2 linked regions of the Saccharomyces cerevisiae S288C genome follow. Changing the gene in region 1 together with any one later gene gives a genetic interaction. Each region holds a gene or a part of one and is shown on either strand. Other genes may lie near its edges.

The links.
Region 2: of PPN1 (region 1) and VTC5, changing one suppresses a phenotype caused by changing the other (phenotypic suppression), as found in Saccharomyces cerevisiae (one study listed by BioGRID).

Annotation. Positions count from the first base shown.
Region 1 is NC_001136.10:1,360,937-1,365,510, forward strand, and holds PPN1 (endopolyphosphatase), read left to right. Parts: upstream 1-1,941; coding exon 1,942-3,966; downstream 3,967-4,574. Other genes in the region: YHP1 (Yhp1p), read right to left, coding at 184-1,245; thioredoxin peroxidase TSA2, read right to left, coding at 4,136-4,574. UniProt on the Saccharomyces cerevisiae protein: Catalyzes the hydrolysis of inorganic polyphosphate (polyP) chains of many hundreds of phosphate residues into shorter lengths.
Region 2 is NC_001136.10:620,388-625,541, forward strand, and holds VTC5 (Vtc5p), read left to right. Parts: upstream 1-1,724; coding exon 1,725-4,334; downstream 4,335-5,154. Other genes in the region: ILT1 (Ilt1p), read right to left, coding at 4,679-5,154. UniProt on the Saccharomyces cerevisiae protein: Regulatory subunit of the vacuolar transporter chaperone (VTC) complex.

The sequences.
Region 1 (4,574 bases):
TGTACAGGGTTTCAGGGATAAATGGACCCTTGAAAGAATATAATATTACATCTCTATATAGATTTATGAAACAGGCCGCTTTAAATCTAAAAAAAAACGTTGGTGTAGTCTCAGTCATTACTTTGTGTAGTTTTTGTTAATATTGATAGCATCAGTGCTCAAGAAAATAAACACTGAGAAAGATTAGTTTTTGAAAGAATTGAGATCGACCTCCCCAAGGGGTTTTCTTTCGTATGCATTGAACTTTAGGCGGTTTTCCTTGCCTTTAGGACTTTTGATAATCTCGCTATGACCGGTATTTGATAATGTTCTCTTAACAAGCACAGATTTCCTGTGGAACTTGAGCTGTCCGCCGGGCTTGCAAGGCGTTATGTGGTGGTCTTCGAAGATCGAGGACGTATTGGCAGGTGAAGTTTTCAGCAACTCTGCAGTAATAGCCTCCTTCGTACTCGTTGGCGTAGAGGTAATTTCCAACGCAGCGTCTGAGTAAGATATCATAGACATCGAATCATTAGAGTGAACTTTGCAATGGCTGGTGTTGCCACTGTTCTTGTGCTTTTTAGCAGCCTGCCTTTTGTTCTGAAACCATATTTGAACCGATTTTTCGGACATATTACATTGCTCGGATAACTCTATCCTTTTAGCCTTATTGGGCGTGGGACATTCGTCAAATGCTGTTTGCAATATCCCAAGCTCATATGATGAAGTTCTTCTTCTTTTCCGACGAGCTAACCGAGCATTGTCTATCTTAGGCTCCTTCTTTGGAAAAGTTTCCTGTGAGTGTGTAATAAAGGCAAATGACCTTTTCTTTTCTTTTCTTGTGGTTGGTGTGAGAACAGCCTTTGCAGCAGATAGAGGAGTAAGAATATTAACTTTTTTATAAGAGTGCATACTCTGAGGTGGCTGCTCTTTAGAACAGACTCTGACCGTTGGCGTGAATGGTGAATGAGAGCTCAGCTTCTTGGGCTTGGATAAAGGCGTCATGGAAGTGGTTACACGTTGTGATAAGAAATCCACAGCCTGTGGACTTTTCCTTTTTGGCCTTTCCTCATCGCAAGGACTTTTATAAATATTTACCACTGGTCTCACAATGTGCGCAGATGCAGCTAATGGTGGCAACCTGATGTCACCTTGGTCATCACTAGGGAAGTTTGTATTTGGCAAAGTATGCAGTTGGAAAGGCGAATTAGAAGTACCTGTAATAATGTTTGGTAAAGAAGGAAGCACGGTATTTCTGCTTTCCATGTTATATATATACGATATTTTGTGTTATTGTTATTTCCCTACAAATGCTAGTTACACTGGCTGGCGAGGGTAAAGAAGAAGATAATACGAATTATAATCTACGTTGGCAAGATCGGGAGGACGCCATATATATATTTATAAACATTCATCTGTGTGATCCAGATCAAACAAATAAACAATGAGTAAACGAAAAATCTGGCTGAAATGTCTCATGCTATTAACCCAATTCAGCATTGATATTAAAAATACCGACGTATCCCTGCACGGAAAGCGCGTCTGATGTTTACCATTCCGGGTTTTTGGCGCGCGTCATGTCCAAATTAGGACGTGGTTTATAGCCGAAAGAGGAAATGTGATCTGCCCACCTGTGCGGCCCTTCTCTGAGCGTTTCGAGCAGGATGCATAATATGCTCCCTTCGTACGGTAGAGGACAAATATGACCATTACCCGACTATTGAGGACATATGTCGTTATTAGAATTTAGCACCTTTAAAGTTATATTGCACTTTTAATTACCAAGATTCATTTGAGAGTGTAAAGGGTTTTATGGTAGAATACAAGTCAGAAGAAGGCTAAAATCAACAGATCAATATTTTTTTTGGTTGTTGGGTTGGAGAATTATAAAGTTTTTTTGATCTCCTTGTCTCCAGCTATTGTTTTCATTGAGTAGGGGTAGAGCTAGTTAGCTGCTTTTCGATGGTTGTAGTGGGTAAGAGTGAAGTGCGCAATGTAAGCATGAGTAGGCCGAAGAAGAAATCATTGATTGCCATCCTGTCGACCTGTGTTTTGTTTTTCCTCGTGTTTATAATTGGTGCTAAATTTCAATATGTTTCCGTTTTCTCCAAATTCTTAGATGACAGGGGGGACAACGAGTCACTTCAATTGCTCAATGACATAGAATTTACAAGGCTAGGACTGACACCTAGGGAGCCAGTAATTATCAAAGACGTAAAGACAGGGAAGGAGAGAAAATTACATGGACGGTTCCTTCATATTACCGATATTCATCCTGACCCTTATTATGTGGAAGGAAGCTCTATTGATGCAGTTTGTCACACAGGAAAACCAAGCAAAAAAAAGGATGTGGCACCCAAGTTTGGGAAGGCAATGTCTGGATGTGATTCTCCCGTTATTTTAATGGAAGAAACTCTGAGATGGATTAAAGAAAATCTTAGAGATAAGATTGATTTTGTCATTTGGACGGGTGATAATATCAGACATGACAATGACCGGAAACATCCAAGAACAGAAGCACAAATTTTTGATATGAACAATATCGTTGCTGATAAAATGACAGAATTATTTAGTGCTGGCAATGAAGAAGATCCAAGAGATTTTGATGTGTCTGTCATTCCAAGTCTTGGAAACAATGATGTCTTTCCACATAACATGTTTGCACTAGGACCAACTCTACAAACTAGAGAATATTATAGGATTTGGAAAAATTTTGTTCCGCAGCAGCAGCAAAGAACTTTTGATAGGAGTGCTTCATTTTTGACTGAAGTTATTCCAGGGAAGCTTGCTGTCCTGTCAATTAACACGCTGTACTTATTCAAGGCCAATCCGTTAGTTGACAATTGTAATTCAAAAAAAGAACCAGGTTACCAACTTTTACTTTGGTTCGGTTATGTATTAGAAGAACTAAGGAGTAGGGGAATGAAAGTATGGTTAAGTGGACATGTACCTCCAATCGCAAAAAATTTCGATCAGTCGTGCTACGATAAGTTCACGCTATGGACTCACGAATACAGGGATATAATCATTGGAGGATTATACGGTCACATGAATATTGACCACTTCATCCCAACGGATGGTAAAAAAGCTAGAAAATCGTTATTGAAAGCCATGGAGCAATCCACTCGTGTTCAACAAGGAGAAGACAGTAATGAAGAGGACGAAGAAACTGAATTGAATAGAATTCTGGATCACGCTATGGCGGCAAAAGAAGTTTTTTTAATGGGAGCGAAACCATCTAACAAAGAAGCATATATGAACACCGTCCGCGACACATACTATCGGAAAGTGTGGAATAAGCTGGAAAGAGTGGATGAAAAAAATGTTGAAAATGAGAAGAAAAAGAAAGAAAAGAAGGACAAAAAAAAGAAAAAGCCAATCACTAGAAAAGAGCTCATTGAACGCTATTCCATTGTGAACATAGGTGGTTCAGTCATTCCAACTTTCAATCCTTCCTTTAGGATCTGGGAATATAACATCACCGACATAGTGAATGACTCCAATTTTGCAGTTTCGGAGTATAAGCCCTGGGATGAATTTTTCGAGTCACTAAATAAGATTATGGAAGACTCTTTGCTAGAAGATGAAATGGACAGCAGTAATATCGAGGTTGGGATCAACCGCGAGAAGATGGGCGAAAAGAAAAACAAGAAGAAAAAGAAAAATGACAAGACTATGCCAATTGAGATGCCAGACAAATACGAACTCGGCCCTGCATATGTACCGCAGTTATTCACTCCGACGCGTTTCGTCCAATTCTACGCCGACTTGGAAAAAATCAATCAAGAATTACATAATTCATTTGTTGAATCTAAGGATATTTTCAGGTATGAGATAGAATATACCTCAGACGAGAAACCATACTCAATGGATTCGTTAACAGTAGGAAGTTATTTGGATCTTGCAGGCAGATTATACGAAAACAAACCTGCATGGGAAAAATACGTCGAATGGTCATTTGCGTCTTCTGGATATAAAGATGATTAAGTTAATATACACATAGAAATGCATATCATTCTTCAATTACAGTTTCTTTTTCTTTTGTTACACTATTCTTTCAAGTCAATTTCATAATAATACAAAACCATCTTTCTTATCATATATAGGGTGATGTATTTTTAATTATTTAATAGGGCCTAGCGTTATCGTGCGAAGATTAATTATTGGCATTTTTGAAATACTCCTTGGAATCTTTAACGTCAGGTTTGATGGTGGCGGCTCCTGGGGTCCAGTTGCATGGCAAAACTGTACCATTTTTGTCAGTCCACTGGAAACCTTCGACTAATCTCAAAGCTTCATTGACGTTTCTGCCAACAGATAAATCATTGATAGTGATATGTCTAATGATTCCCTTCGGGTCGATTATGAACAAACCTCTTAAAGCTATACCTTCTTTTTCAATCAAAACGCCATAGTCTCTGGATAAGGAATGATTCTTATCAGCAAGCAAAGGAACTTTAACTGGACCTAATCCACCGTCTTTTCTGGGAAGGTTGGTCCATGCCAGTAAGGAATATTCAGAGTCGGTGGAGGCAAATAAAACTTGGGCGCCCTGATCTTCGAATTTCTTGGCGGCATCGGAAAACGCAACAATC
Region 2 (5,154 bases), 740 kb from region 1:
CAAATCTCCATATGGAGCGGCCTCAATGAGTAGCAACGAGGGAAATAATTACTTGCTTCGGCTGCATTCAGTGATTAGTTAAAAAGTCGTCACCCTAAGTTTTTCTGTCGTATTTTAGGCATTTTCATTTTGAGGAAATATCGTATACCTGGTAATTGCCTATATTTTGAGATGAAGACTGTTTCTCATTTCTTTTTGGTCATCTCCTTGCAGAGCATTTGATAATATAGTAGTAATAATGAATTGTAGTCGATAAATGTTAGTTGATTCTCATTCCTATCGTATCGATAAGGAAACCTGAGAAATACCAAGGTTCAACGATAATGGCAAACATGCTTCATTAATCGGTATTCTTGATCAAATACTTCCTTGCCTGCCATACGGCATCCCTTAATCGCAAAATAGTAATATTCTTTCCAACTATATAACCGTTATTTTAACACACATTTCTCAAGAGACCCCTTTCTAGAAATGGCATGGAGTGGCAAGTATCTTCAAGCTATTTTTTAGTTGTTCATGTACTCCATAGAGTGACGGTTCTTGCAATTTCAACTAGTTTCAAGATAGTCATAAAAATTTGCAACCGAGCCCATTACTATATATATATATATACAAAAAATTTTAACATTAAACCTTGAGCTCGGGTTTTATCTCATACCAAGTATTATCAACCTTTGGCCGGTGTGTTCCTAATATGGTATCGATTTTCAAGTATACCGTGTAACATTTGGTTTTTGAATTATCCAGGGGTATTGCAAGGAATATCGTGGATCCTGCCATATGAAGGCGTGGATCTTAATTTATTCACCTTTACTGATCGTACCAAACGAAGTAAGCGTAGAAAGCTAACCAATTTCCTCTTGTTACAGAGAGAAAACTTTTCTTGTACAGTAAACTGAATATGCTACGTCGTAGACTTACAATGACGCCGCACTTAGGGATAGTAGTTACCTTGCTCACTTTACTGTCGTGATCATTACACCCGTACGTAATCGATGATCATTGCAGGAGAGGGGCACTTTGGTCTGACATCACTTTTTTTACCTAATCAAATAGATTGGCTTTTATTTGACAGATAAGGTTTATGATCTCTTTTTTCGAATGGAAAGTTCCATGCAGGCACCCTTTATCTCATTGTATTTAAACTACATATAGAATGGATGGAAACGTGGCAAGTCATATCAGGACGCTTTGAAGACTGATAATTAAAAACATTAAACAAGTTTCCAGATATCAGGAAGCGACCAAGCCAATATTCAGAACTTTCGTTTCGAAAAACACAGTAATATATTATTCTCAAAAATTACCACACTTTTTTTAGGCAAGGCTGCAAAATAATACCAGAAAAGCAGAGGCGGTTCTTAACTTCTGTGTAAATTCAGTGCAGGAGGACGGGTGTTGTGTTATTAACTTGCAAGGAAAAGAAAGTTTGTGTCTCCCCTTGTTCTACGCTAGCGAAATGGGTGTGTGGAAGAGTCAAAACTGAACCAAGAAAAAAAAAAAAAAAAAAACAAAACAGATAAAAAGATAAACAAAGGCAAGATCAAAAAGCCCTATCGTGAACGCTATCAAAGGACTTTTAAAATTCATAAATTAATAGTTCGTCCGTTGCCCTCTTGAATATAATAGAGATAGAGTTTAATACTTGCTTTTTACCTTTGCTTTTTTTTTGTATATCTCCATCTCAGCCCTAGGTAAGGATAGATACGAAGGGTTGTACAATCATGAAATTTGAAGATCGCATATTGAATAAATCAATCCCTGAATGGAAATTCTACAATATTAACTATGAGAAGTTAAAAGTAGCCATAAAAAAAGTAACGGCTTATGATTATGACAATCCAAATGATTCGGGCATGGAGAAGTTGTTGAATCAATGTTCAGTAGCCTTTGACCAGGAATTTCAAAATGTTAATTTATTTGTTTCTTTGAAAATAAAGGAAATTTCCACTCGTATTCTTTCTGTGGAATCATCAATAATCGATTTTTCAAAGGGCTTAAACAAAACTTCCAGAAACCGTTTCAACCTTCGTAAACTGAAAATCATCAACGCTCATGTAGACGATTGTAACTTTGAACTACAACTACTGTCAAGGTTTTTGATAATACAAAGGATTGCCTTGAGAAAGTTATTCAAAAAATTACTAAATGAATTTCCTCAAGACAGTGAAAATCCATTGACTGCAAGTGAGTATGTTACGTCGATCAGAAACTCTGAAAGTTTACGAAATGGACACGAAGGCATATCATTTATGAAGCTTGATTTAGATCCATATCTTTTAGAAGTTTCGCTAATTGTTGATGTTTTACATGATTTGGAAAATAAACTTGAAGATGCAACTGAGCCAGCAGTGGAGCAAAGATCCCTAAACCGCTCCGATGAATCTGCCCATACAAGTTCAAGTCCAGAAGCCAACAATTCTTCCTTGCCAGCATCTCCAAGGTCAATTCCGCTACTTTCAAACAAGAAAACTTCAAAAATGATTGATTCTTCGCTAGAATTCGATACTGCCCTCATAGATAAAGCAGAGAATCTAGGAAGGTTTTTATTATCGTCCGAGGACATAGAGGGACTGAAGTTCATGCTATTGAATATTGGTTTTAGGATAATTGACGATAGCATCATATCCACTTCAAAGGAGATTTTAGACACTACAGATAATATTAATTCTGCGGGCAACAAATCTATAAGATCAGCAAAGTCATTCAATGACTTACAACATACCTTATCCCTATCTAAACAGAAGAACATATTACCCTCTGCTGTACAATCCAATGAGAAGTACGTTTCTATTAGTATACTAGATACTGTCGGGAACGAAGGCAGTCCTTTACTACTTACTGATGATAATATAAATCAGCACCCAAACATGATAGTCAGCTCTACTGCTGAGGATACTTGTATAGTAATGTGCCACGTGGGCGGCTTAAGAAATCATGTTGTCACAAATGATCTGCTTCTAAGGGATGTAAAGAATATTCTTTCGGCCATGAGGAGTGGCAACGACACAAAAAATATTAGCGCTCTCATAAACTCACTGGATCCATCGCCAATCAGTAAGATCGCTTTGGAGTGGATTCAGTCCCATCGATTAAAAACCATTGAACCAAAGCTAGATTTTAAAAGAACAAGATTCATATCAGCAGACAATGGAGATATATACTTGATAGCTTTGGATGAATCTATCACTATTGGAAATGTATCTACATTACCCTTTCCAATTTTAGAAATTAAAAAGCTTAGTCGATCCAGTGGTCTTTCACAGACGGCTATTAATGAAGACAATAAGTTTAAACAGTTAATGAAATCAGTTGTTACAAATGAGTTTCAATGCAGCTTAATACCACCAGACTTAACCACATGGAAAATATGTTTAGAATTAGTACACTCAAATGAATTGCAAAATGATTTATTTCAACTTTTACTAAGAGATCAATATAAATTAAATTCCGATGATTCGCTATCACCTGATGAATTTTTCCAGCTGGGCAAGGATCGTCTAGAGGAAGAGTTTGACCTGACTGGGCCGATAAACAACTCACAAGGTAGTGTTGACAGCGGCAGAAGAGTTCGAATTCACAAAAAATCAAAGCAATCGGATAATGAAACTAAAAAGAAACCTATTAGGTATTGGAATGAATTTGATGAACAAGAAGAGGATAATTTAGACAATGCTTTTTACATTGATACTAATGGAAGCAGGAGTACAACAGATAACGAAGAATCCTTACTTTTGAGAAATTCTCCGCCTGATTATGGGTTTATTTTGTTTAGCCGGAATTTCATCAACCGCACATATGATTTTTGTGAGAAGTTACGAAACTTGATTCGCCATGACAAGAAAACATCGCCAGATTTGTTTCAAAACTCTAAGCATCCGCATTGTTCATCAACTAACTATGGTTCTGTTGCGTCATTTGGTTCACAATCAACTTCAGCGTCATATGATGACGTTCAAAGGTACTTACAGTATCAACAGCAAGACATAGAGGACTCACAATCTATCTACGAATATAGGCATGACGAAGTTGTTACATTTTTATACTTGTCTGCACTGCTAACATCTTGCATTATGGCAAGTGTATGTCTGGGAATCGTTTTATCCTTGTTTCGCGGGCAAAGTAATAATGAGATAGATTTAGAAATTCAAAATATTCTCATAGCCATTATTATCATTTCCTTACTGGTTTCCCTTATTTTGATCTGTGCGTGCCTGTTGTTGTTATTTAGTCGGTTCACTTTGGCGCCAATCTGGCATTATGTTGGTTGCTTCACAATGTTTTTCTCAGTTACTGGAACAGTGTGCTATGGTATGATTGAAATTTTCTTTTAATTATTTTGGACGATAAAAGTTTTTCATGTGTACAGTCTATATAAAATATGCATATCATGTGGTTACATAAGAAGAATGTTAATCTTGTTTGGAGATTTTGTTTTTGGAAACTTCGCCATTGCGAAGGGTGTTGCAAACTGAATTTCTGTTTAAGTTTTTAATTAATAATCCTTATTTTGATCTTTTCTGATGGCCGTGTTTGAACGCATAGTATTGTGAATATAAGCGAAGTGAAAACCTTTACACCTGCGGCAGATGCCATATTACTGCGCTAGTGGTGAATATTATTAAGCGTGCTATCAAAAAGAGATGAAAACGTGCTAACTAAAAAGGACTCAGATTCGTTACACACTTAGCCTCGAATAACGATCAGGATCTGTTCTAACCACAACTCCATGGACAGCATGCAATGTTTGGGCTCTTGATAACGTCCCCCCATCAGTACTATCGTATATATTAAAATCGTCTGCAAAGCTCGAAGCATCGTCGGGGATTGAACAGTTATCCAGGTTATAGTTAGTAACATTTCGGTCACTCTTGCTAATATCTTGTTCGATTTTTTCATCGGGTTCTTCCTTTTGAGCTTGGCCACTTTCTTCGTCAAAAGTATTGCCTTTAGCTAGGAATCTAAACCTACACCACCATATGAAATGAGACGCGAAAATTCCTAACTCCATTCCAGCAACTATTGAGTATAATATAATACCCATAATATCCATATTACCTAGGATAACACTGATGATAGATAGCCAAGCACCTAATGAATCGATGAATAAGAAGGCAAAGTTGATGCCAATAACACGACCTTTCCTTTTGGCTA